4 linked regions of the Mytilus edulis genome follow. The protein of the gene in region 4 binds, or shares a complex with, the protein of the main gene of each other region. Links are inferred from orthologs where the notes say so. Each region holds a gene or a part of one and is shown on either strand. Other genes may lie near its edges.

Region 1 (7,909 bases), on a different chromosome or scaffold from region 4:
AAAAAATTATTATTTTTTGTTCAATGGGCAATAACTCAATCACATAATAAGTCACATATCTGAATTTGAAAAAATTTCATCAAAGCATTTTCATGTGAATGAATGGACACTGTTTGGCCCCACCTGTCCAACATACATCCCTCATTCTAAAATCGAAAATATCTTTTAAATTAATATTAATTTTAAAAAAGTGTCACCTGTATTGGTGGTTGTACATGAACATGTATGTCCACTTTTATTGGACCACACATCAAGTTAATTGAACCTTTATTGTTATTTGTTTGAGAGCAGCCAAAAAGTAGTTGTAAAACATTTGGACGCAGATTCCTTACAGAAATAATACACCTTATTGCTATTTAGAAATCTGTCCCACTTGACCCGAGAATCTGTCCAAATGAACTTTTGACATCATCCAACAATTACATGTACTTTCCATGCATTGCGGCTTCAGATACTTTGTAAAATTTTCTATTATGACGTCAAAATTTTATGAGAACTTTGTGATATCCAGTAACTGCTGAAAAATAGTGATTAGGTGATTGCTGGCAAACACTAAAATAATAAATTACATTTCACTAGATAAATTATGTCCTGACTCAGTTTATCCTTATACACCTTATTGCTAGCCTATCTGTCCGCCATTACTGGACATCACATAAGTTCCTGTAAAATTTTAACATCATAATAACAATATTTTGACGCCACAGTGGAAAAGTGATTGTTGTAAGATGTCAAAAGTTCAAGTGGGACAGACTCCTCTTCTTCTTCTTCTTTTCGAAGTAAGGAACCAAATTCATATTGAATGTGTATGGTCCCGCGAAAACTTAGCGCAGTACCTGGCAAGGCAGCAAGTCTTCTCAAAGTTATTTACATTTAAAACGTTCGCCAATTTACAATTAAAATTATATACACTCTATGCTGTCCACTTCCTTCCAGAGCCTGCTTTCAGAGCATCTCTGAATCCCTCTATCGAGTCAGCCGATGTTGTTTTAGCTGGAAGTTGATTCCAATCCCTGATGCAGTGATGGTCTTTGGGAAGAATGACTGTCCATAGGTGTCAGTTTTTGTTCTTTCCTGGTAAAAGCGGCCTATACCTCTGGTCCGACTGTCATTGGTTATTAGATATTGTTGTCTATCTATATCGATATTATTAAAGCCTGTGTTGAATTTTAAATAGCATATTTCCTGGGTCAGGCTGGACAGATTTCCAAATACAAACACATATGTAGCGATATTCAGATAAGGTGTATACATGTGCCTGCCATGATCCATTGCAATTAATTTTTTTCTTCTTCTTCTTTAAGGTCAACAAGGCTTCAATACTGAAGAATACATGTTGTTGCGCATGCGTGATTGACAAAAATTTATACAAAATTCATAAAAATAATTTATAACAATTGGAGTGTTTGTATATACAGATTTTGATTAAAAATATATGTACATGTTTTGTTTGAATTTGTTTATTTGAAGCTAGAGAGAACAGCTGGTGTTAGCGGATCTCAACAGTGGTGGTTTCAATTATAGTTTGTGATAGTAAATTCCATGGATCTCCTGTAGTTGGTGATCGCAATACTGGTATACAAGTATTGTGCACAATACTGGTATAAAAAATTTGTACCAGTATTGTATTCCAGTATTGTACCAATATTGTGTTTTTTTAAATAAACAATACATATATATATATATATAGGTAATTAATCTTTTATTGATTTCACAATAATCCTCTATAATCTTTTTGTGTTCATTTAATCTCCCTTTGAACTTCAAAATCTAATTTTGCTTAAAATTAATTTTTCATTATACACCTTAAAGTATAGTCAACAATTATACAACTACAATACTGGTATATCAGTAATGTACCAGTATTGTTGTTTTAAAAAAAAAAGTTACAATACTGGTACAAAATTTTTATACCAGTATTGTAGACAATAAATATGCCTTGTTGTATGATCATTTGATTTGCACTGTAGTCTACAGGAAATTTTACAACAGTAGCAGGTGGGGTATCGGGATCGTTCGCCCTAGGTTCGTTCGCACTGAGTTTGTTCGCCCTGATAGTCCGTTCGCCCTGGGTTTGTTCGTCCTAAATTCATTATTGATATATATATGTTACATCAATGAACGAAAAAATTTCGAAAGCAAATTTACAGATCTAACATTGTTGGGTTGATGATTAGACGAGTTGTATATACATTATGTACACAGCCATGTATCACCATCATTGCTGGTGATCCGATGGATACATCTGTTGTAGAGTTGTCACTGACTCAGACGTACTTATAAATATAATTATTTTCTGTGACTGTATCTTGCATTAATTTGTAGGATCCTTTACTATAGATAATTGAGCTGATCTGTAACAATAACATCTCCATGCCTTATATATCATGTACTGTAGTACGCCGCTAGATTAAAACTGACGAGGAAAGGTAACACACAGCCACCGAAAGCTTTATATTTTGTGAAGCCCAGGTGGTCGTGTGGTCTAGCGGGACGGCTGCAGTGCCGGCGATTTGGTGTCACGAGATTTAGACAAAATAACACGATACATCATAAATATTCGGCGAAATTGAAGACTGACTTCAACACATTCAATTATATACACACAACGCAACACTATACTAAAAAATAAAATCAGGGCGAACGGACTCGGGGCGAACAGGTATTAGGGCGAACAGAAACTAGGGCGAACCAGAATCAGGGCGGACGGACCCGGATTCAGCAGGTGGTACAACAAAGTAAACAGGTAAACAATAAAAATATTTTCTCAGAAGGGACTACATGTATCATGACTATGCTTTCACTGCTGTGTGTCACAAATAAGTGATGTAACAAGTGAGTTTACCTTAACCAACCATACACCTCTTCCTGCAGCATTAAGATCTACATCTCTTGGGGTATGAGCCTTCTCAAACTCTGGGGGCATAGACATTACAGCTGAAAGTTTAGTTCTTTAACGTGAAGGTACAAAAATTACATGTTGTGAATAAAAGCTAAATTGTACGGAAATTTCGCCTCAGAAATTTCGACATCAAATCTGTCTTTCATTGCAGTTTTTTAGTGGGGAATTATAAATATCTGACATGATGAAAAATATAACCAGTGTTTTGAAAAACAAGATTCAACCAAAATTATCGTGATCACAATTTGTCTTATTAATCTTCCTTTTACTCACTCCACAATTTTTTTTAGCGGGAAATAAACTTTCATTGCAGAACAGCTGAGAATCGATTGCTCATTCACCAGTTCACATCAAGATAATAATATTTTAAAGACTAAAGTAAACAAAGCTGCTCAACCTAATACAATAACCAAGAAGTATTAGAATAGAATAATTTTTTTATATTCATATATTTTTATATATTTTTTTTTATATTCATATATTGCATACATCTATGATACACCTCTGCGTTAAGTTCTGTCAAATTTGTTTATTACTTAGTTTATGGGGGTCTCATTGAGGGAAGGGGGGGTTCTGATCCTGCTTACTGTTTTGTCAGATTCCCGTATCCCGCTTACAATATCATGACTATGCTTCTGCTTCTGCCTGATAATGACCACAATCAACGAGCTGATTATTATGTCATGACTGAGGTGCGCATGCAGACCCCCCCCCCCCCCCAATTTCAATAAATTAGTTCAGCTTTGTCAGTGAGGCTTTAAAGGCCTCGACTGACGGTGCTGATGCTACCCCAGGAGGGAGAGCGTTCCAATCCCTGATTGTTCTTGGGAAAAATGAGTATTTTCTGTAATCACTTCTGCTTGCTGGAATTTGGAAACTTTTGTCGTGCATGTTCCTCGACAGTCGTGTTGGTTGCATAAGACGACCTTCCTTAATTACAGCCACTTTGTCGTGTTCTATTTTATAGAGCATAGTTAGCCTAGCATCTTTTCGCCTTTTTTCCAGAGATGGCCATTCCAGGTGCTCAATCATTTTGCTGACACTTGAGTGATTATGGTGTTTGTTGGAAACGTATCTTGCTGCTCTTCTCTGGACCATTTCTAAACGATCTATTTCGGTTTTAAAGTATGGGTCCCATACTGGACTTGCATACTCTATTATTGGTCTTGCAAGGCTTTTGTATGCATTTTCTTTTACTGAGGTTGCTCCTATATTTAGATTTCTCTTTAGGAAGCCTATAGTCCTGTTGGCTTTGTTGCATATATTATTGATATGATCATTCCACTTCAGTTCGGATGTGAAGGTGCAACCAAGGTATTTAGCACTTTTGACAGGTTCCAGTTTGTGACCATGCAATGTGTAAGATGTTGGAATGGTGTTGTTTTTGCGGCTGATGGTAAGAACGTTGCATTTGTCCGGATGGAAGGACATTTTCCATTTGGCTTCCCATGTTCCTAGTTTGTCGAGGTCGCTTTGAAGGTCGTTTGAATCTTTGTCGGATGAGATGGTAAGATATGCTATTGTATCATCAGCAAATAGGCGGACAGTGGATTTGATCCCATCTGGCATGTCGTTGATGTAGAACAGGAATAATGCAGGACCAAGGACAGAGCCTTGGGGAACTCCAGATTCTACATCAATATGTGATGAGCACTCTCCATCCACAACCACTGCTTGCGTTCGGTGTGATAGGAAGCTGGCAATCCATCTATTGGTTTTACCACTGATACCGTAATGTTCTAGTTTGTGTACTAGGAGACTGTGACCGACTTTATCAAATGCCTTTGAGAAATCCATTATAAGAACATCTGTCTGTTTACCTGCACTCATATTTTTAGTGATGTCATCCACGAATTCGATTAGATGAACGTAAGCAATTCTCCTTTTCTTGTAATTTCCTGTGTCCTGCTATAGCCTATACAACATTTCCCGTTTTCACGGCACAATAATTTGACTTTAACGTATCATGCTGACAAAAAATCAGTAATCCCACATCACGCTTAGATCCCAATGAGACCCACCTTTATGTCTTCAAAGCACAAAATAATTATTGATGTTCTGTTCAAATCGCAAAAACGTTGCACAGAAAAAAATCTGGGAAAAACGAAGCACTCAAAATAAAATCTTTTAAATATTAAGGAAAAAAGTAATTTACTATTATGAGGGAGGGGCCTGATGGGTTATTTTCGTTCTTTGTGATCGGCACATTTTCGCATGATCCATTTTTCTACAGATTTTTTTTTTTATATTTTTGTGATCGTGATCATGGAAATTTATTTTCTGTGAATCATGATTGACAGAAAAAATCAACCTGTGAATTATCATTGATACCTTTATCTAAAGTTGTAACACCACTAATTCGGGCCCGGCCAGAAAGCACATACCAGAATGCTGTTGCTGATGTTGCACACTTCAAATGATGCACTGCCTTTTTACAGTTAATGTCAGAACATTGAAAGTGAAGTTTAATATCTTTTTTTAAATGTCGATCATTGGGATGGCTAACTGATTACCATAATTGAAGCTTTGTGTCCAAGACTTGATAATTAGCACATATTTTCCACAGTCGCCTGAAGATTTCAAGCAAAATATGGTTGAAATATTTCCCCCATTTTTTATTATTATGAAATCTTCAGGCGACTGTGGCACATCGTACATGTACATGTAAATATTTATTGAATTCATAGTTTATTTATGATTATGTACTTATACGAATAATAAAGTTTTATTTTGATTCGGTTTACATATACATGTATAACAATACAAACATAAGCTCTTAACCCTTTTGCCGATGAGTCCCGTTTTACCGGGATCGGAATACCTCTTTTATATTTCCTGCTAAAAACAGTGCAAACATGAGTTATCTTTCTTTGTTGGATACCCTAATGAAAGTGTAAACATGGCGCTTCTGTTTGTTGAAAACCATGTCAAAATCCAAGGAAATTTACGGAATTAACAAGAATTTGAAATGAGGGAACATTTTTTTTGAAAGAATATGGAAGAATTGAAGCCAAATGTGTATACTTTTTTTTACATAAAATGTCGTTTCATGTACAAAACACTTGGAATGGACATCGTTCAGTGTAAGGAATTTGTACAGCCTCATTAATATTTTATGAAGAAAAAATTATCAAAACATGAACAAAACTGTGAACATGGTGTTAGTGAATGAAATAAAGACACAAATAACTATAGACAAGTTTTTATTGACATTTATTATGAAGATCTCCCACTTGAGTAATAGTAGCCAGGGAAGCCATCGTCTCAGAGTAGCTTCTTTCTGGGCAGCTATCGGTGAAAGGGTTAAGAGCTTTTCACCGAAGATAAAATAACATTAAAACACAGACAAGATATATAACAGCACAGGCATATGGAAATACATGCAAAGCACTACTAAAATACATATCTAAACTTGTAATAATCATGACACTAATGTATATATGCAATATGTATGTCATTTTAGATTTCTACAATGCAAGCATTCTTGACTGGAAAATCTGGTTTAACCAAGACAAAAGATAAACCAACTTCAAAAGAACCAACAAGAGAAAAAAGTAAACATGTTCCATGGGTGGAGAAGTAGTAAGTATTGACTGTTGTATTAGTTTCTCAACTCATTCATAATCTTACTAAAAAGTAAACATGTTCCATGGGTGGAGAAGTAGTAAGTATTGACTGTTGTATTAGTTTCTCAACTCATTCATAATCTTACTAATAAGTAAACATGTTCCATGGGTGGAGAAGTAGTAAGTATTGACTATTGTATTAGTTTCTCAACTCATTCATAATCTTACTAATAAGTAAACATGTTCCATGGATGGAGAAGTAGTAAATATTGACTGTTGTATTAGTTTCTCAACTCATTTATAATCTTACTAAAAAGTAAACATGTTCATAATCTTACTAATAAGTAAACATGTTCCATGGGTGGAGAAGTAGTAAGTATTGACTGTTGTATTAGTTTCTCGATTCATTCATAATCTTACTAAAAAGTAAACATGTTCCATGGGTGGAGAAGTAGTAAGTATTGACTGTTGTATTAGTTTCTCAACTCATTCATAATCTTACTAATAAGTAAACATGTTCCATGGATGGAGAAGTAGTAAGTATTGACTGTTGTATTAGTTTCTCAACTCATTTATAATCTTACTAAAAAGTAAACATGTTCATAATCTTACTAATAAGTAAACATGTTCCATGGGTGGAGAAGTAGTAAGTATTGACTATTGTATTAGTTTCTCAACTCATTCATAATCTTACTAATAAGTAAACATGTTCCATGGATGGAGAAGTAGTAAGTATTGACTATTGTATTAGTTTCTCAACTCATTCATAATCTTACTAATAAGTAAACATGTTCCATGGATGGAGAAGTAGTAAGTATTGACTGTTGTATTAGTTTCTCAACTCATTTATAATCTTACTAAAAAGTAAACATGTTCCATGGGTGGAGAAGTAGTAAGTATTGACTATTGTATTAGTTTCTCAACTCATTCATAATCTTACTAATAAGTAAACATGTTCCATGGGTGGAGAAGTAGTAAGTATTGACTGTTGTATTAGTTTCTCAACTCATTTATAATCTTACTAATAAGTAGACATGTTCCATGGATGGAGAAGTAGTAAGTATCGACTGTTGTATTAGTTTCTCAACTCATTCATAATCTTACTAATAAGTAAACATGTTCCATGGATGGAGAAGTAGTAAGTATTGACCGTTGTATTAGTTTCTCAACTCATTTATAATCTTACTAAAAAGTAAACATGTTCATAATCTTACTAATAAATAAACATGTTCCATGGATGGAGAAGTAGTAAGTATTGACTATTGTATTAGTTTCTCAACTCATTCATAATCTTACTAATAAGTAAACATGTTCCATGGGTGGAGAAGTAGTAAGTATTGACTATTGTATTAGTTTCTCAACTCATTCATAATCTTACTAATAAGTAAACATGTTCCATGGATGGAGAAGTAGTAAGTATTGACCGTTGTATTAGTTTCTC
Region 2 (6,840 bases), on a different chromosome or scaffold from region 4:
CAATTACCCATAATAATAAGGTCAATGTCAGATGAACCATGCCAGACAGAAATTTTCACTTTACAATCAATCTTTGCTTTAATTATAGTTGTATCTAAGAAAAAATCTAACATGTAACCAGGAAAACTTTAGATTGATCAATAAACCATGAAAATTAGGTCAAGGTCAAATGATGCTTGCCAGACAGACATACACACCACAGCTTACAATATTTCCATACTACAAATAAAGTTGACCTATTGGTTATAGTTTGAGAAAAACAGACCAATACACCAAAACTTAACACTGAGCATTGAACTGTGAAAATGAGCCATTCATGAGGTCAAGGTAAAATTAAACCTGCCAGACTAATGTGTACATCTTAAAATATTTTCATACAGAGGAGAAATGATAAGAAAGAAATTAACATTACAAAAAATCTTAACTTATTTTTTTTCAAGAAGTCAATGAACCATGAAAATGAGGTTAAGGATGATGGACATAAGACAAACAGAAACTTCATAACCTAATTAAGGCATCTATATACATTCGAATCGACTGGAACTTCATAAACTAATTAAGGCATCTAAATCTATATACATTCGAATCAAAGTAGGAAGTATCCAGATGAGGTCTTCCACCTTCTTCGACATACATTTTTTAAGAAGATAGCTAAAGCTGCAGCAGGATCATTATACATTTTGTACCTATGTCAAGCTATTTGCTGCAGAAGTCACAGGCTCAACATGCTCAACAAAAATCATTCATTTGGGGATGGAGTCCCCTATTACGGAAGAAAAATCAATTAAAATTTTTTTTTTTTTAAAATCAGGAAAATTTTACTGAATTTTTCAATAAACTAATGACTTTTTTTAAATCCATGCATTTGCGCAGAAATCTATTTCCTTTTTCCAGTCTTGTATGCATGAGACTTTGAATAAAATATATATTTAATATCAGTATATTAAAATATAGGATTGGAACTCAATACCAATTCATTTTAATATGAAAAAAACGTTACCTGATGAAAGCGTTTCTTTGTTTACATTGAATATGATGTCATAACTTGATTAACGTCACACCTAAATCCCTTACAACAGAACCAAAATCGGATATGTAACAGTATTTCCTTTCCTTTTATTAACATGTTTGAATTAAAAAAAAATGCATACAGACATGACAGACTTTGTCCCCATTTACAGGCATGACAGGTAATGCCTGCCTCATATTATACTAAAACAGATTTCACATTCTTTCAAAGGTATGACACATGCCTCATTACATGTATCAGATAAAAGTGTCTGTCTTAGGAAATGTTAAATAATCAAAGCACCAAAGGGTGCTATAGGCAGTTAATCAAAAACCCAAAGGCAAACTTGGCCAAGTTCAGATGAATAGTGTAAAGAATTAGTCGAAATATTTATCTCAGGCATTGTTCTCAGCTATTTCTAAAGTATCAAATAATGCTTGTACAGTAATGTTTATGTTATGCAATCCTACCACTTTCAAAAGTAATTTCCAATTTATATTCATAAAGATTCAATGTCTGAGATTATACACATACACTGTCCTATCTTAGGGGAGAGTTTTGTGCCAGTTAAGATGTTTAAGCCGCCACATTCTGTATGTACCTGTCCATAGTGAGGACCCACTAATGCGGTGATTGTTGCTGTATATCATATTTATTTTTCATAATTGTTTTGTACATTTTTAAAAATTTTATTAATTTCTTGTGTATAACTTCTGATTTTAGTATGATGTCCAAGTTATTGTAAATGCTCTTTTGTTCCGACGTTGGAAAGTTCCAGGCGGAAAGAACTAACTAGCCGAAAAGTTCTCCAGAACTTATTAACTACATTGTAGTTACTTTGTTCTTCCTCTGGTTTAAAATTTTATAAAGTTCCACCTGAACAAGTGACTAGTTGAAATAGTTTACATTTTTGTTATCATGGTTATTGTGTTAAGGGGCCAGCAAAAACAATCCTTTGGGTGTAGGAGTTTCTACCTGCATTAAAGATCCATTGGTAACCTTCGACTATTGTCTGCTCTAAGATCTGGTTATTGTCTCTATTACACATTCCCCATTTTCACTTTCGATTTTTTTTACGTCTCAAATTATAACTGAATTAAAATATGTTGATTACGGTTTAACTGTCTTCCATTACTAATATCATAATAAAAAAACATTTATTTAAACTTTCAATAACTGTAATAGTAAGAATTAAGAAAAACTTGTTTGTAACTATAACTTGTTGAAAACATATTAAACGTTTCTCGAGTCTCGTTAATCGACTCGTTACCTTTTTATCCTATCATGCGATTTCTTTTCTTATTATTTTCAGGGGGAAATCGTTTACCAGCATAAAGTTGCTGAAGGAACCGCATAGAATTGATTCAATAACACTTAACGAGTGTTTAAATGTGAAAAATTATAAAAAGAAACATATAAAAAAGTCGTATTTTTCTGTACCGGAAATCGAGAAGTCCTTGTAAATCAAAACAATTACAGTGTGATACGCGTCACAGATTCAGACTTAATATTTTACAAAATATGCGACTTTGAAGTTAAATAATGCCGTCCTTTAGAAAACAGTTGTTAAAGTTTACATCACAATATTTATTGAACCACATCGAGCTTAAGCAAAGCACGTGTAGAATTATGTTACATTGTGTAACACCAAAGCGAAACAATCTTAAAATGACCTTGACATCAACCAATCAGAAAACTACAATAACAACAACTTAATTTGACAAGCATGAAGGTGATTTGCTAGAAATCGGAATAATATTAAAAAGAAAACAAATGAGCATTCATTACAGATTACTGAATAAAGATGATTTAAATAATCTCAATCAGACAAAAAAACGAATAAAATGATTAATAATAAAAGTACCGATGTATCATCAGAATTCTCCCAATTTAAAAGGTACGTAAATTTCGTCTTCTATGTAATTTGAAATTGCCGCCAACTTATATCAGCTTATATATAGACTACTGACGTATGTGATACGTATCGATGACAAACAATATTCCTACGACTTTTGCCATCTGGGAAATGTAAAAGACTCATCTATATAGATTTTCAGCGATCAAATATTTCATATAATTGTTCTTTGACATCTTAGCCCACAGCACAGGGGGTAATAAACTATAGAAGGATTTCTATCGAGCACTACTTCCTATGTGCAACTTCAAAACTTTTGGGAAAATCGACGACCATTTAACGTTTTTATGGTAATATTTTTTATATTCTAAAATAAAAAGTATGGAAAAATGCCCAATTAGTTATAAATAACATGATAGCCAGCCAGAAAATAAAAGCGGCACATATTTCAGCATTTATTGGGTAGAACATAAATCTAGGGTGCTCGCATAAAGCAGCTTAACTGCTTAAAAAATTGTGAACAGGAGAGTTACCTTTTTGGGAACATCCCGTTTGACAGAAGATGATGATTGCCTCAAAAGGAGTAAACTTTCTCGACTATCTACAGTTTTAAAATATTGAATATGATTCTGGTTACAAATTGAGCATAATGCTCTAAGGCGTATGTCTGAATTAAAAATCAAATTATTTCGGTGGCAAGGTAGCTTAAAAAGCTTAATTCCGAACTTTAAATAATTTGTTTTCAATTTGCACCAGGAGGCTGACATCTTTAATCAATTTTGTACCTCCACACTAAAGAGCTCTCCATGTTTTTGTTTATTTTTCTCAATTCTTTCTGTATCAATATGGGTCGAAAAATATTTGACTGAATGAAATTATTGATTTTCAAATGAATTAACCAATGTTCTATGACTTTACGCATTATAATTCGATAACGAAGCAATAACGTGAAATGAGTTCTCCTGTGTAGAAAGGTACATTTAGTCCTATTTTTTTCATTGTCATTTGTGCGTTTAAAAAAAGACGATTTTCTGGAGAAAAAATAAGATATTTATTGACATTAATGAAGAAGAAAAAATCATAAAAAAAAATTTGCAAGCATGGCAACTACAAGAAAATTGGACTGTAAAAATTTGCATGGTTACTTAAAAACTTTACCATGGCATGTTTTAGACAAACTATATTCACATCCTGCGACTTGCTTGGCTGTATTTAGGTATGTCCATCGAAGTAACCGATTCAAGACGTTTTGACTTTTGGCCTGACTGCCAGTTCGGCCACAGTCGTTTCGGTCTGTTATACACCTTATCGCTATTTGTCCGCCATTGCTGGATATCACACAGGTTCCCGTAATATTTTGACGTCATAAAACAAAATATCTGACACCACAATGGAAAAGTGATTGTTGTATGCGTCAAAAGTTCAAGCGGGCGGGTCAGCCGGGATTAGCGATAAGGTGTATTTCGGCCATACTGACAGTTCGGTCATACTTTGTAATGCACCAACAGTTAAATTGAAACATTATTTAAAATGTCTTTTTCTAATGCATGTCATACAAAAGTCTCTTGTCCACTAACTATCCTATCGGTAGTCTAAAACCTGTCATCTTATAATTTGGTTCGTTCGGTATTTGTGTTTGTACTCATCACACGGTAACCACATTGATGTCACTATGCTAATACCAGCGTTCAAAATTAGTGCACAATACGTTTTTTCTACTCTTGTAAATAAAGAATACATTTCTAAAGATATGTTTTCACTGTTATTCCAAAGTATTGTACAAAAATGCCAATTCTCTAATGACCGTTTCAAACCTGACTTTCAAATTCCTAAAAACATTTCAGAACTTCACAATATCCCACTTCAAGCCTCCATTGCTTTGTGTAATTCCATTCAGCGTCATCAATCTTAGTCATGTTAGTGGTAGACAAAACAGGCCAAGCAAATTGTAAAATAAAACAACGAATTCATGACCGAATTTTACAAGAACAGAATTCATATATTACAGAATCATCAAAATTATCATTTTTTCTACAGTTTTGTTTTTCAAATAAACGTGCACACTATCATGACAATGTTCATTATGTTGACCAAGTGAATATGTTGAAAGATCAAAAAATATCAAAGCTATTAGCCTACCGAAAAAAGAAAAAAAAAAGGTCAATACATGTAGGCGAAAGACTTACCACCATAGCGGGATATATCATGTCTTGAATTATGACATCTTGAAAGGGTATTTATTTTTTCTTGATTTTAACGCCTTTATACTGCTCAGTATTTAGGCACAAAAAATAAAATAGCCTTTCAATATGTCATAATCATTTGGAATAGTCTACTTTCAGACCACACTTTATGACAAAACGATTATCATGATTATTTGTTAAGTAATATGAGCATGTACATCAAAAGCTTAACATCATAAAACATAAACTTGAAAATTTACAATTTATTTGAGCACAACATTACATTCAGTGTATGCTCATCAAGTACTCAAAAATAGTATCTACAAGTATTATAGACATTAAATAATTAAATTTATTAATAACAAATGAATTAACCTAACAATTTCTTGGAACAACATTTAAATCTTAACAGGTACTATGGCCGGATCAGCCTATGGCCAAACTATTTGCGTAGCCAAATTGTCTTGAAAGAGAAGTAGCAATTCTAGATTTAAAAATAAACCTTGCTGGCTGACACTGACAGGCATTTTCGATTCTATGCCTCCGCCATAGTGTATAGTTTAGTTTATTTCAATTTCAGACAATTACCAGATTTATCCAAGCACTATGTTATGCGGATGTTATTTATTGAACAACATGTATCACAATCAGTGGTAAATCTGTGGGTTAACAGCAAATACCAAGAGTAAGTGTATAATTCTGTAAGACTGAACACTTTTAAAGCCTAATAAAGTTGTCGATATATGTGAACCGTGCATGCATGCTGTAAGCATGGTAAATATAAAAAAAAAGATGTGGTATGATTGCCAATGAGACAACTGTCCACAAGAGACCAAAATGACACAGACATTAACAACTATAGGTCACCGTATGGCCTTCAACAATGAGCAAGGCCCATACCGCATAGTCAGCTATAAAAGGCCCTGATATGAAAGTACACTCCACATTCTGTATGTGGCTGTCCAAAGTCAGAAGCCTGTAAATTAGGAGATAATTGTATAGTATTTTATGCTTGGCCTTCCTTAAATGTAGATTTTACTATTACAAATTGAGTTTACATAGAGACAATAAAATCAAGTTTTAAGAAGTCCAAGTTCAAGGAATATGTAAATTTGAAAAATCAAGTCAAAAGTAGTTTACCAATCGTCACATCTTGTAAATCAATTCAGAAGCGACAAAGTAAGGTAACAAAGACAAAATTTGGGAGCATCACATCACATCAACAGTACAATTGTATCTACTGTACATCATTGTGTACATGAATCACCCATTGAAAAAACACAAATAATTTTTAACTAATCAAAATGTTAGAAAAACATCAATGAGACTGCAAGTGCAACCCAACAACACTAGAATGACTAGCTATCCAAAATGAATCAATAAAAAGTATAAAACTGAACATCCATTTATCAGTAATCCGACATTGTAAAATAACAGTGTCTATACATTCTGGTCTTTCAAAAAGTACTGAATTTTGTCACTAATGTTTTGAATTACAGTGAACAGAAACAAGCAGTAACAGCATTAACTGACCTCAGAGTATGGCACGAAGAGACTATGACTGGTGGACTTCAAGGATGGAAAATGAATCAAACTTTCAGAAAGAATATGAAAATAGCCTTACTTGGAGGGTAAACATGAAAGAAATATTCAATTATCTAATGCAAATGTAATACAGATTTATTTCAAAAGTTTATGTTTAAGAAGAGTCAAAATGCCTGATTTTTATGAGACATCATCTTTTGTATTGGAATGATTTGTGTGGTTCTAATTATTTGTCACCTCACCCAAGA
Region 3 (7,541 bases), on a different chromosome or scaffold from region 4:
ATATCATGACCTCTTAAATAGTAAACATTTTAAAAAAAAAACCAGTAGAGTGGACAGAATACTTCGGAATCATTACTCCATATAATAATTGCAGTGATATTGTTGTCTATTTTCAAAACTACCTCTACCGTTTTTTATTGGGAAAAATGCATATTTTTTATTGAAATTGGGAAATATTATTCTAAACACATCTCCGATTATTGGCTGACCTTTGCTGTCTTTTTTGCACTGTTTTTTCATGTATATTTTGGTTGTCAGACATTTTCAACCCGGAAGGTTCTTTTCGGAGAGGGGAAAGAAACAGAAGCAATGATGGTACTTAATGCATTGAAAACCACATGTGTTACAAACACCATGATGATTCTGATCAGAAAACCGGATCTCAAAAGTGCTTTATAATATCAAAATAATAACATGAATACGATATTTACAAACATTACTACCAATGCCATCAGTTTTGGGAAAATGTAGACCTTTTTGGGAGGAATTTTAAGCCATTTTTTTTAGTAATTGGGAATTTTCTCTAGGGGAAAAGGCCGAATTTCGGCTGTTATTTGAGGCAAACAATATCACTGAATTGGGAACTATATTCCAAGAACAGGAACAAAGGGAATTAATTGTGGTCTGAAGACTTCTGTATACTATGAACATACCGTCATACGTATATTAATAATAAAGTGTATTTGCTTTCAACTATTAGTTCCAAGTTTCCTTTCCAAGGCAATCACTGCTATAATTACATGTATATAGAGTCTCTATATATTATAGTAGTTTAATCATATATAGTATACATGTAGATAAACGCAAAATTATTGACCTCTCTCCGAGTACTATGAAAATCATCTGCAAGTTTAAATCCAGAAGTCTTATCTATGACTAAAAGTCGGTCTGACGACGGTAACAATATCCAAACGCCTTTTTTTCGTTTCTCTCTCAAAAGAATTCAATTTGATTAAGCATAAGAATGGATGACAAATGCGACTATGCTTGGTACTTATAGGACACAGAGGCATGATGATTGATTTATTGTGGAAGGAAGAGAAGACACACAAAATGAGGTCTTCTCGTTTAATAGTATAGTTGTGTCAACTTTAAAAAGATTCAAATTTATAATGTCACAATCCCTGAAGGTTTATTTATTCCTATGAATTCAATAACCAGGACAACTGAAAATTTTTTGGGGTTAACCAACGTAAAAGACTTATTATTGCGCATATAGTTACATGTACATGTAGCATTTTTCCATATAATTTTTATAACTTACGTAAGATTCCTTAGTCGTGCCTCATTTGGCATCATAGGACTAGGAGCACCATCTTTTTCCCAATGAGTTGGTTTAGACAGATAAATCTGTTCAAATTTCAACAAGTATCTAGGCTGCAAAATATAATTTATGTTTATTATGGGTTCTACTATCATGACTATAGATTCACTATATAATGTGTCCCTGTAAAGTGTTTGCTTATAACAATGTTTAAACGCAAAAACATATGTAACAAGAAAAATTGCACAAGAAAACAATGTTATGATGTTTACACACTTTTCGAACATATTCATTTTCACTGCTTATCTGTTGATGCAGGTCACAGATTATAAAAGATTTATGACAGATGTACATTGTATATTTTTAAAGTAGTTGAACTTCTACTCTTTACAACCGAAAATATATTAATCTTTTAATGTGACCAAATTAGCTATACTAAGTGTCTTGTCTGTATTGACTTACTGGAGTTTCTACACCACCAGATTTATGTTGTGCCTCAGCCTGTAAATCTATCTGTGGTGAATCTTCTACGATTCTCTGTACTGACATCTGAATAAACTCATCAAAGGAATCTAACTGCTGTCTCACCAAACCTTTTTCGTCGAAGTAGGAACTGATGACAATCCAGCAGGCTTCCTGCCATAAATCAGGGGTAATTTCATCACTGTCCTCCTCTGCCTCATGCATATCTACAAAATACATGTTTTGTTTATAAGTATTTGAATAGGAATAGGGTGTGGAAAAGCAGATAAAACGTAAAGTAATCTAGGTCCGGGTCCGACTCAGGGCGAACATGTAATTAGGGTGAACAGACCTGATACCAACGTATAGGGGGCAAACAGACCCAATGCCCAGGAAATCTCCCTCTTACCCAAGCCCTATCCCCTCCAGTGCAGGAATGAAATTAAGTGATCGTTAAAATACATGTTGTGTGCACATTGACATTGGTTATCTCCATTGACCATTGTAGGCAGTTACTTTTTATTTTATTCAAGTATTACGAAATCCCGACGTTTTTTATTTTTGGATTGTTTGATTTTTCCTCGTCAAGTATTGTTTTGGTTGTTTATGTTGTCAGTTGAGACAAGGATTTGTATAGTATAGTTTACTTTACAAATCCTTGGTTGAGAGGATGCCATTGGCTATTTTTTTCTGTTCTATGGACTGTCAGTATCAGAACCTATTCTCTAGACTTAGCAATGGATAGTCTTTCACCAGCTTGTCAATATCTGTAAAGTTATTTTTCATACTGATATGTAAATACCTTTGTTGTCATTTAGTACATCAGTTTTATCAAAATTTCTTCAGAGCCACTCACTCGAATAATTTCTTCATTTATTCCCCAAAACTGTAAACATGGCCCAATGTTTTCCCCATTACTGTAAAACCATTTTTAATTAAATCTTCTGGTGATCTCTTTATCATACTTAGATATATATAATCATAATAACTGATTTACAGTTTAGAGGACTTTAGAGAGATTGAAAAAAAAAATGCAATGTTATTGTTTGAAAAAGGTATAAGTACTCCAGGGGCGATGTGTGTATATCAGTTCTAACCTTCTTCTGGTAAATACATGTTGGTTTCGTATAATTTACAACCCTTTCTTTATATTCAGTTAGTTTTCGTATCAGATGACTGTGGATTTCACAACTAACTGACGCGTTTGAAATGCGCCATTTAAATGCCGGCAATTTGAGTTATTTATACATATAAACATCTGTTCGATACTTCTCGGGTTTTTAAAAAAAAAATATGATGATGACCGCAAAAATAAAAGGGACATTATATACCACTACGACCCTAAATGTTTTTATTCATCGACATTATTAGTGCGGTGACAGAAGTGTAAAAAGTCGTCTAGATCGCGAGTTTAATCTCCCCAAATAACACACGGCTAAAAATGGTCTTAACTTAAAGACAAATATGTCTTCTTTAGTTTTCGCCCTTTCGTCAGAATTTCGTACGGTCACTTTTTTCTAAAAAGTCGTTTTAATGACTGGTAGTATATTGGAGAGTTTCAACCCCCCTGTTTCAAAATGAAAAAAATGTGTATGTTTTCTTACATTTAATTGAAATAGTTTTTCCTGAAGCTATTTTTATATGTCATAATATTCCATTCAGTATTTTATTTTCTTCTAATCTATAAAATTTGCGAAGTTTAGACTATTTGAAATTGAGGTAATTTTAATTGCAAATTCAGACTCAAACTTTAGTTTCCTCTTCATAGTAGTAATAAAAATTATCCCATAATATTTTAAGCATATAATATTTAATAAAACTAATTAGTGATAAAAATTTCGGAAACAAAATATGAAAAAACCTTAAGAAATCAATGAAAAAAGAATGAAGTAAATATCTTCAATTTCAACACGGAACTCAATCAGTTGCCTTCCGTCACATTTTGTGTATTAGTCAATAATTTGCTCTCAAATGATATATGAAATTACTACCTTTTTCGCTATTATATACACATATTTTCAATTACAGTGCACTGATATATGCCACATACTTTGTTTGTATATGTTTATATTCTATGTTTTTTCGTTATAAAACATCAAATATACTTTGTCAGAAAAGTCTTATTGTAAAATTAAAATAATTGACGGATAGTTTCAGTAAATACTCCGTGATATGTCAAGTCCTTTGCAACTTGCTCCATTAAGTTCAAAGAAAAGACAAAAGTCGTTGCATTTTATGCAGTGCATAATATGCCAAATAAAAAAACCTCGATTGAAATTTTGAGTCAATTTACCAGTTTAGGGAAGTCGATTTTTGTATCTGCATTGCATAAAAGATTGGATGAGGTGATCATGAACATCAAGCTGTTTCATACAATAGCTGTTAATTTGAAAAACTCCGTGCAGGCAGTTATTCATCGTTCATGCTACAAAACTTACACAAGTAAACATATTTGTTCCCCCTTTTAGAGCGAGGAAGATTCTTGTCTAATATTTAATGACGACATACAATTATCTGACTGTTGTCCCTCAGTTTCGGGCAGATATTTCATTCCGCTGCAAGTTTACTTAGAAAAGACATCGAAACTCTAAAGAAGACTACCCAATTTCGGATGAATTTTCTCTTCGTTTTTAATTCAGCCAATGCCTTCGTATTTATTGCAATTCATTCTATGGTTACTCAATGAAAATGCATACAGCCAAGACTATTCTCATGATATGGCACCGGAGAAATTGTGGAAATGCTTAAGCAATTGTTGAGGCAATCGTTTTTGTTTTACTCCTTTTCATTTAGGATTGGCTTTACAAATGTACCATGAGTTTGGTTCAAAACATCTTGTTGAAACATTTAATGCCAATGGATTTTATGCTTCTTAAAGTAAAGTGCGACGCTATCTAATGTGTTGCCAACCATGAAATTGAGCGAATTCAAGATAGTGCGTACGTCTTGTATAATGTTTCCCCAGCATCTTTGCAGACAAGCATATGGATGTCATCACACCTTCCTAAACCTCCTTTTAGATCTCTTTTAAAATCTTGGATGAATTGATAGGGATGGTTTGAAGCTGGTATTTTTTTTAGGAACAAATGTGTTCGGACTTTCTACAATACCTTGTCTGTACTTGAAAAGAAAAACTCAAAATAAAGTGTTTGCTTTGAGCAGAACCTTTCATGTGCAGACCTGTGGCCATAAGTGAAATGTGTAGAAATATTAAAACATGTCTTGTGACGGTTGGTGAAAATGAAGATGATGGAGATAACGGTTGGTTTGGTATAAAGCTTGTTGCACTGGTACACACGATTCCAGTCCGAGGTTAGGGGAGTGTTGACGTGCCCTTAAAAAAGTTAAACCCCGCCAATATCTGTATGTGTCTGTTTCAAGTCACGAGACGGTAATGCAGTGTTTCTATATTCTATATTTGTTTTTTTCTTATTTATTTTGTACATTAATCAGGTCGTTAGAGTATTTGTTTGTTTTACATTATTCATTTCGGGAATTGAAGACTATGCAGTATGAATTTTACTCATTGTTGAAGCCCGTACGGGACCTATCATTGTTTTATGTCTCATTTGGTCTCATTTGGAGAGTTGTCTCATTTGCAATCATATCACATCTTCTTTTTTTTTATATGGAATACTTTTGAAGTTTGGGGTACGTTGCAAGGGATAAAAGGGGGGACATAGTTACAAAACCTATAATGTAATAGATATTAACCAGAGTTAAATACACAACAAAAGATAATACTATGGTAGCAGTAATAATTGTGAAAAAAAAAACCCAAAAGCAACGAGTAGTCTATAAAAAAACTGAAGTATCCGCAAATTCAATTTGAGGTCATATTTGACTGTAGTGTTCTATGGCTTTGTTTTGATGACTCACCCACTATGATAGTTTAAAAAATAATTTTAAAGTATTGTCCTGCATGACACTTGATTTTTACCTGAAATTGATATTTTTCATAAGGTTAAGGTGCTTTAAACATTTTATAGGTTGAAAACTTGATTTTTGAAGTTTTGTTTATAAAACGTGGTTTTAGGATCTTTTTTGATAAAAAAAATCTCAATGATTAAGGTTTATGTATAAAAACAAACATTACTTAAGCCAAAACAGTATCATTTATATATAGGTAGAGTTTAGAAATAGAAAAAAATGTCAAAATTGAAACCCTCCCAAACTTTCACAGATTTTTACATATGACCTTTGACCTCAATTTTAAAAAAATGTGACCACATCAAGTCCTGACGACAGGCATATTATTATAGTACACGATTTCTTCTTTCCAATGATATATTATGTAGATGTGTGTTCGGTGGGGAGATTAAATTCCAAAAAATCTGCCTTCAGTCACCGCACTATATGGCACATATTCATCAATAAGAGACACAAGCAGCCTAAATCCGCAAAATCTTGTCTCAAACGCTAATGACAGGCATTTCATGTCTCCGTTTTCTTTCTTTTTACTTTTTATATTACATATATAAATTCTTTCGATTGTTAAGCAGTCCTGACGCAGTTTTCTTTATTTTTTCTTCAAGTTTTATAAATTTTTCTTTATGCTGTGACTGGAATTTTTTTTTAAAAGAGGGGTGAAAGATACCAGAGGGACAGTCAAACTCATAGATCGAAAATAAATTGAAAACGTCATGGCTAAAAATATAAAAGACAAACAAACAAATAATAGTACACATGACACAACATAGAAAACTAAAAATTAAGCTACACGAACCCCACCAAAAACTGGGGGTGATCTCAGGTGCTCTGGAACGGTAAGTAGATCCTGCTCCACATGTCACGGGCACCTGCCGTGTTGCTCATGTTATACCAAACCCGGCAAATAGTCTTATTCAGTAGGTCATATTCATGAAAAGCGAAGGGGATTGTAGTTTTAACGTAAGGGACATATATATATATATATATATATATGATATCATCTGTGAAACGGGCAAATTATTCCATGACGGTCGACCAACTCATGATGGCGTCCGTAAAATTTACGAAGGAATGATTTCAACTTGACCTTTTTGAACTTATGGTTTAATAGCTTATTTGTGAGCAGCAACTCTGTGAAGAATATCATGATAGGAAATACAAGCACGGGAATATCGTATCAATTGGGAGATCAATTGGGAGATATATACTACTTAAGTAACTAGTAAACGTCAAACTGCAAAGCTGTTGTTTATTTATTAGAGTTAGATAGTAAGAAATAAAATATGTTGTCAATCAAGAAATCAGGCATCTTGATAATGTCAGTTTCAGAGAATTTTTAACGTTTTAAACGATATGATTTTGATTCTTTTATGTTGACAGTTCACATTTTATAGTACTTTTCAAACGTGAATATTAAATTTCATTCTTTACAAAGAATCTGCAAAAATAAAAAAAATCACTATGATATTGCTGGTGGCGGTAAAATAGCCATTTCTATAGAAAAAATGCTATTTTGCAGGCTTGAAATCGAATATTTTAATCAAAGCTGGCAAAATAGTCACTGCCTTTTGATCACTTAAATGCATGTTATGTTTAAAACTTGTTTTATAAATGTATTCTTGTTCTTATTTCACGGTATCCTACATTACAATGACAGTAGTTTGCTGCACCACTATCCTTAATGTTCCAATGGGAATAGTATATATAATGTTCCAGTAGTTTTCCGCAGCATCAGCATTATGTTTAAGAGGGTAAGAATATGTTTATCATCGGTGCTAGTTAAAGCCTGTCCAGGGACAGTCTATACTAGTATAGAAAGTCCCTGGACTGTCTTAAACATACAGTGAGGTGAGAGGATTTGTTTTGCTCCGTGTTGTATGTCTCA
Region 4 (7,181 bases):
ATTATCATTTATGATAAGGAATCCGAATAAGATTAATTAATAGTTATATCAGTGACGGATTCAAAAAAAGGCGATCCGGCAGTTTGAAACCCTTTTTTAACTATCAATGCATTTGTATGGAAACATATATTTGAAATCCCCTTTTCTCCTGGATTGGACCCCCTCTCCATTTAAAAATGGCCGGAACCCCCAATGTATATAAAGTGATTTATGAGGAGATGCGCTTACAAAACCGGCGAAACATATTGTACCGGTCCAACGGACGAACGGAAAGACGGACTTCTTTATCACTATAACCCCCCGCTTATCAAAGTGGTGTACAATTGAGTGTCAGAGAGACAGCTCTACATCTTAAACAAAGTGAAGGAACTGTGATCAATTATAGGCTAAAAGTACGGCCTCGAATGTGTGTAAATACATGCATTTTTATATAACAACTAAATCTGTGTGTTTGTACAATTTTAAGTATAACGGAGGATATTTCTGAAACTTATATACTAGTATACATCAAACCTTCCTCTTATTTTAGCAACATTTAAACATCCTTATACTTAATGTAGTAAGTCGAGTACACCATATTAAGCTAAAAAAAAATGTTTCATAAGTTTTTAGGATGAGAATGTATTTAAATATATTTGTGTTATTTAGAAAAATGCCACCTTCTAATGTATCGTAAATAACTTTGAAATCACCACTAGAATACAATGACACAAAGACTGATCATACAGTTTTAAAATATACAAGCGAGACTGATCGTACAGTGAGAAATTCAAACAAGTGTAATTTTCTTATTTCTGGCTTCAAAGATCTGGTTGAAACTCTTAACACCACTTGAAATATACTTCATTTAGTTAATTAAGTCTGTTTTTTACGTTAATTTGTACACTAAGAGGGTAAAAAGATTGTGTTTAGGTTCGCCGACTGATTTTTTTAGTGATGCACTTGAAAATCTCTTGATTAAGGCAAAGATACGAATAATGAATGTGTGGAATTTAATTCTAAACCATTTGAGAATATCGATGTTGGCTGAATTAATCATTAAGCAATGTACAGATGATCAACTTACCGTTTTTTTTTCAGTATACCCATCAAATTTAAAATGTGATCCAAAAAGTTCTCGCTTCGAAAATCGCGACTTCCGGATAGCGTTCAGAATAGTATCTACACTGTGTAAACGGAATCTTTTTTTTTCTTACAGTCAACATTGTACTTTTACGCTGAGAGCAGCGATCCCAGGCCAGACACTTGAACTTTTATAATACACTTGACAATTTATAAAAAATCATTATTTCATGTGACATTAACAGAGTTTACACATGAATTTGGGACAAATTTATAGATAAGGACAAAATAATTAATAGAACGACAACATTGAAATGGAGACTTGCTCTTTGATTACCTTTAAAATTTGGATTTTTCGTCCAGTGATTGTTTTATCCTGTATTTCCTTTTAAAACAGCAGATTTTACTGTTTTGGACATTTTTCTCAAAAATTTGCCAATGCTCATTACATTTCAAATCAACACAATCAATAAATTAAACATGAAAATGACTCTGAAGTGTGATGCCATTGACGAGTTTTAATGAAGGAAATTGTATGTCTTTCTCGATTAGGGGACGGAGACGATCATTTAATATTCGGGGGGGGGGGGGGGGGGGGGTGCTGGATTTTGGTTATTTGGTTATTTATTTTTGTAGACTGTTGAAGCATGAATTTCATTAAAACAAGGCCGGACTGATTGTTTATTTTCACAACTATATTAGTTTTAATAATACTTTAAAACACACAATTTTTAAATTAATGTTTTTATTCTTAAATAGAAGCACATGTAGGATCTAGTCATTATGTAGCTTTTAATCAGAATTAATCATCATGCATCCTCTGGAAGTGAATCTTCTGATTTCTAAACTGCAATTATTGTATACGTACAAACCTGTATTAAAGTTGGGCTGTGACTAAGTTTTTTTTTTTTTAAAAACAAATGTTAAACATAGGTGCCAGGCATGCAGAACGCGATCGAAGTGATTTTTTTTCGGCAAAGAAATTTGGGCCACTGAAGGTCCCGAGCAGCTATAGAAAATAAGGATGAAAATCATGCTATTCTGCGCTTTTCCCGGACCCTTTCTTAACTTGAAACGCAAGTTCAGTTTTCTTTATTTTTTCGATAATGTTTTCGTCTCAAAGCCGTTTGAAAATATATAGATTCAGTGTAAAACTTTATTTATGGTATACAAAAGTCCGGCGTCTGTCTGTCAGTCCGTTCGTCTATCTGTCCGTTCGTCTATCTGTCCGTCCGTCTGTCCGTCGCCTACATGTTCGCGCACCGTAACTTGAGAACAACTTATCCAATTTTCATGAAACTTAACGTAGTTGTTTCTTATGATGGTCAAACGATCTGTATACTTTTTAGTGAAAATAAGATTTAAACTTTTTGAGTTACAGGACTTTGAAACTAAAACAGGGGGTGGGTGTTTTTTTCACATGCCGCGTCGTATCTCAGAAACTATTTATGATTATTGCATAAAACTTCACACCAGTGTTAGTTATATTAATTTGAAGATCTGTATACTTTTTCGTGATGGTTCTTTATTTAATTTCTGAGTTGTTGAATTTTTATTAAGCTTTTTGGTAAAAGAAAAAAAGTAGTATTTTTTGGTCACATTTTGCGCAGTTTCTCCAAAAGCGGATTTCAGTTTTATTTCAAAAGACTACGGGCGTATCATGCGCTCGGGGTGCAGCTGTTTGTTAGAATACGACCAGCCAGACAAATAGTCACTCGGGTTTTTCTTTTTTTCCAGTAATTTTAAAACATGATGGCATTTAAGAGAGAGAAATATGTTATTTTTTTTTAGTTTAAATGGTCAAATGCCTGTGGTAAGTGGGGTGCCTCAAGGCTCGGTCTTGGGGCCCCTTCTTTTTCTGATATTCATAAATGACCTACCTGCAACAGTAACATAAAAACACGCTTGTTCGCAGATGACTGTATTTTGTACAGAACAATTAAAAACCAACATGATTGTACCATCTTACAAACTGACTTAGACTGCCTAGCCAAATGGGAACAAACTTGGGGTATGCAATTCCACCCAGAAAAATGCAACTCACTAACTGTAACAAGATCTCAGTCACCATACAAACATAACTATGTACTTAAAGGCCACATTTTAGAATCAGTCAACAGAGCAAAATATCTTGGTATCAAGTTATCCAACAACATGTCATGGGATACCCATATAAGCAACATCACGGCTAAAGCAAACAAGATTAGTCTTTTTACGAAGAAACTTAAAAATTAATCAGGAAGAAACAAAAAGTTTGGCTTATAAACCTATGGTACGATCAAACCTTGAATACTGCTCTTCAGTTTGGTCCCCTAACACCCCAAAACAAAAAAATAATATTGAAAAGGTACAAAGAAGGGCAGCACGGTACGTCACCAACAGGTATCATAACACCAGTAGTGTCACTTCCATGATTGACCATCTTAAATGGAAGTCACTAGAAACTCGCCGAAACATCAATCGAGTAACAATGATGTATAAGATCACACACCAACTTATAGCAGTAGACCAAAACCTTTACCTCTCACCACAGCGAGTCAAAAACACCATATTCACCAATTCACTACAATATCAAACTTTCAGCACCAGAACAGATTACTTTAAGTACAGCTTTTTTCCATACACAGTTGTACTCTGGAATCAAGGAATTGTATATAAATATTCAATTTCTTGCTGGAATTCACTACCACAAAACATCATTAGTGTAAACTCTTTGGATCAGTTTAAAATACTGATCCAAAGTCAGTATATTATAATAGTCATCCACCCTGTTTGTACATATATGTAAATGAGTTATTTTTATTTATTTTGTTATTTTTGCACAAATTAAATTTTTGATTAATGCACTCATTAGATTGTTACTTTTTATTAAGTGTCTGCCGCGATGCGCCGACGTGTAGTCATCAATGTAGTGATGGATCGTCGTATGATGTAGATGTAGATGTAGAAATTAAAAAAACACCCCTTTAAAACATGTTGAAATAGAAGTAGGTATTTCGAGTTTTTTTACAGAAAAAAAAATATCCCACTTGTATCGCAAAGTCACGAATTTTTCATTTTGATATTGCGTTTACGAAACTGTTTCCGTTTCTGTTCCGGTATCGACTTGAGGTTTCCTAAAATATTTACTGGTTTCCTGTCATTACGACGACGTATATCTTCCTTTAACATATCATAAGGTTAACAGCAGATATCAGAGAAAGAATGGTGAATTTATATCGAGAGTAAATCTGATTATTAACAATCTTTTAATACTTGATTTGTAGAATAACAAGCTACATTTCACAAAAAAAAATTAGACTTTTCAATCATCTGAAGCGTCACATCGATTATTGTGGTATAAATTAAAGAAATTGAAAAAAAATTACCATAAGCAGCCGGTAAACATGGTAAAATTATTCCAAAGAATTATCACGTCTTGAAAAGTTGAAATGCTGTCATATTTTTTTTGCTTTGATGCCTTAGTAGCAGTAAGGCATTGTCGCAATCAGTTGTCAGCCTTTAAAGTCGTTTTAGACTACCTGTACCTGTACACAGATAATGTGTCCGTAGCTATTTTTCAAGGCGGCAAAATAAGAAAATTGTTCCACACACAGCAGCCCATAAGAGATAACATTAGAAGATGTCATGGTTTTATTACTAACACTACTTTCTGGCCTTTTTTTTCAATACACCTTTTCACTATCATGCAGTGAATCATGACTATAGTTTATGCATTGGCGGATCCAGGGGATGGGGTGGGGGGGTTCTGGGCATTTGAATGGGGACATATAGCTGGAACACCCCCCCCCCCCCTTTTTTATCCTGGGTTGGTTATGGTAAAAGTTGTAATCGTACAAAGATCTTCTCCTATGAAACTATTGAGACAAATATAGCTAAACTTGGTAATAATCAGTACACACTTTACTGATGTAATCTCATTGCAATTTATACCATAAATCTCACTATAATACATAATATTAATACAATAACCAAATATATATTTGCCGACTGCCCAACGTAATCTAGAGGACACCGAATTTATTACAAATAAATAAACATGACATGTGAAATATAACAGCATGTGTGATATAACCATACAGCATAACATACTGAGTTGTAATTAATAATTATAAATCATCAAAATTTCTCCATCCTTAACGATCCCGCCGGCCAGGAAAAACCAACTATGTCGATAGACGGCGTTGGAAACCTGTGTCCAAACCCTAACTTAGTCGAAAGTTAATATGCTCGAAAGACCGTTTCCGGAGTCATACTTGGACAGTATACTTAAAGATATGACATAAAACAAAAAAATGATATAAAGTGAAACATGAAACAATAATACATTGCACAAACATAATAAAAACCCAATTAAGATCTAGATATGAAATATTAATGAGAAACGATATATACAAATATCGTTAAGAAACTTGACTGTATCAGTGTTGGGTAGAGAGTGATTACTCCACGGGATTATTTCCCGCTCATTTATTACATGTACATGTAAACATGTGATAATCACATGATTAATCAGACGGAACGTTAGTACAATAATTTTCCTCTATACTGCGAAACGCGGAAAATTATAAGTACACACTTTACTGATGTAATCTCATTGCAATTTATACCATAAATCTCACTATAATACATAATATTAATACAATAACCAAATATATATTTGCCGACTGCCCAACGTAATCTAGAGATCACAAAGAAAGGGATGAAAAGAGCCCAAATTATAAACCAAGTTTTCTAGATACTGATAATCTCATATCTAAGGAATCAGCAATGTAACCATCTTTGCTAATATCTGATTTCCACCTTCCATGACGTTTAATACATCTCTCATTTACTTCTGACCTGGCTGCTGCAGAAGCACCACCAGAACGTAAAGAATGCAAACCTAGGTTCAAGTCAGGAGCTACAGTCTTTAATCTACGTACAATATTCTCTTTTGTGGCTGTATAGCTTAACTTCTTATTCTTATATATCAACTTAGCTAACCCCTTAGACCTAAAAATCGGTCGAAATATAAAATAATCCGAATTAACATCCAAACTAGCAAGTGAAATGTATCGCTTATACATAACAACTGGACATGCCAAAGTGTTACCCCTAGAAATAAGTATCTCGTTACCTTGTCTGTATTGATCGGTCTTGGACCGGGGCAGAAAAATAGAAATATGATCATCAAAAATCTTAACATCCCTACATGTAATAGAACTTAATTCGTCAAAGCGCAAAAATCCAGCATAGCCTATCAAAATCATAGTCAAATCTCTAACAATAAGCAAGTCATTTTCAAATTCATTAATTTTACAGAGTTCAAGTATTATATCCGAGGTAACAGGGTCCTTCTTTACGACTGGTTTTCCATTTAATCTTTTACATGATTGAGCTAACGAATGAATGTAAGCGTTATTTGTAGGATCAACGTAACCATAAAGCTCATGTACCCACTTTAAAGCATAAATTATCGAATCTAAAGTACAAGGTGATGACTTCTTGTCAATCAATAAAGTTAAAAACAATGAAACATGAATCGGATCTGCTGGTAATTCTTTAAAACCATATCCTTGAGCAAAAGATATCCAACGATTATAACTAGCAAAGTACTTTTTTGTAGTATTGTCACTTTTAGACTGGATAAGATAAACCGACATCTTTTCTGCTAATTTTCCAAGTTCAACCGAACATCCTACAGTACTCTTCTCTACAATCTCCACAACATGTTGCCTCAGTCCTAAGCCTGAAAATCGCAAATATGGATCATTAGAACATAATATTTAAAGCTATCAACCTAAATTTAAGTGGCCATTTCCCGAAAATGCCGTTTTTACCGGCACCCTTCACTATAACTTTGTCATTTGTAAGATAAATAGCGTCTGAAACAAAACTCTTAAAAATTTCTTGTGCACAAAGTAAAGGCCAAAATGCCGCCGATTTCCATTCTGGTATAACCAAAATACCATTAGCACGCTCATTGCACATTTTGTTTACTGTTTTTGCAATCAAAGAAGGTGGGGGTACCAACCAATTGTTGTCATTTCCCCAATATTGACTAAAACTGTCAACTGCTTCAGTTCCTGGGCACCATATAACTGAATTGAAACGCGAACAATGTGTATTGTAATGAG

Evidence for each region. Proteins that work in one complex are often made in the same cells at the same time.
Region 1: transcription initiation factor IIE subunit beta-like (region 4) and general transcription factor IIF subunit 2-like share a complex: the UniProt entries of both Homo sapiens proteins name them as parts of the TBP-based Pol II pre-initiation complex. The link is inferred for Mytilus edulis from reciprocal best matches to the Homo sapiens genes GTF2E2 and GTF2F2.
Region 2: transcription initiation factor IIE subunit beta-like (region 4) and general transcription factor IIH subunit 4-like share a complex: the UniProt entries of both Homo sapiens proteins name them as parts of the TBP-based Pol II pre-initiation complex. The link is inferred for Mytilus edulis from reciprocal best matches to the Homo sapiens genes GTF2E2 and GTF2H4.
Region 3: transcription initiation factor IIE subunit beta-like (region 4) and DNA-directed RNA polymerase II subunit RPB2 share a complex: the UniProt entries of both Homo sapiens proteins name them as parts of the TBP-based Pol II pre-initiation complex. The link is inferred for Mytilus edulis from reciprocal best matches to the Homo sapiens genes GTF2E2 and POLR2B.

Annotation. Positions count from the first base shown.
Region 1 is NC_092346.1:81,244,263-81,252,171, forward strand, and holds the start of general transcription factor IIF subunit 2-like, read right to left. Parts: upstream 3,001-7,909; 5' UTR 2,933-3,000; coding exon 2,846-2,932; intron 1-2,845. Other genes in the region: replication factor C subunit 4-like, read left to right, coding at 6,375-6,484. UniProt on the Homo sapiens protein: TFIIF is a general transcription initiation factor that binds to RNA polymerase II and helps to recruit it to the initiation complex in collaboration with TFIIB.
Region 2 is NC_092345.1:75,550,048-75,556,887, forward strand, and holds the start of general transcription factor IIH subunit 4-like, read left to right. Parts: upstream 1-3,840; 5' UTR 3,841-3,964; coding exon 3,965-4,080; intron 4,081-5,627; coding exon 5,628-5,732; intron 5,733-6,546; coding exon 6,547-6,678; intron 6,679-6,840. Other genes in the region: valine--tRNA ligase-like, read right to left, coding at 3,398-3,631. UniProt on the Homo sapiens protein: Component of the general transcription and DNA repair factor IIH (TFIIH) core complex, which is involved in general and transcription-coupled nucleotide excision repair (NER) of damaged DNA and, when complexed to CAK, in RNA transcription by RNA polymerase II.
Region 3 is NC_092347.1:65,787,939-65,795,479, forward strand, and holds the start of DNA-directed RNA polymerase II subunit RPB2, read right to left. Parts: upstream 3,001-7,541; 5' UTR 2,843-3,000; coding exon 2,824-2,842; intron 1,954-2,823; coding exon 1,727-1,953; intron 1,378-1,726; coding exon 1,265-1,377; intron 1-1,264. UniProt on the Homo sapiens protein: Catalytic core component of RNA polymerase II (Pol II), a DNA-dependent RNA polymerase which synthesizes mRNA precursors and many functional non-coding RNAs using the four ribonucleoside triphosphates as substrates.
Region 4 is NC_092344.1:17,771,620-17,778,800, forward strand, and holds the start of transcription initiation factor IIE subunit beta-like, read left to right. Parts: upstream 1-4,170; 5' UTR 4,171-4,269; intron 4,270-7,181. UniProt on the Homo sapiens protein: Recruits TFIIH to the initiation complex and stimulates the RNA polymerase II C-terminal domain kinase and DNA-dependent ATPase activities of TFIIH. Both TFIIH and TFIIE are required for promoter clearance by RNA polymerase.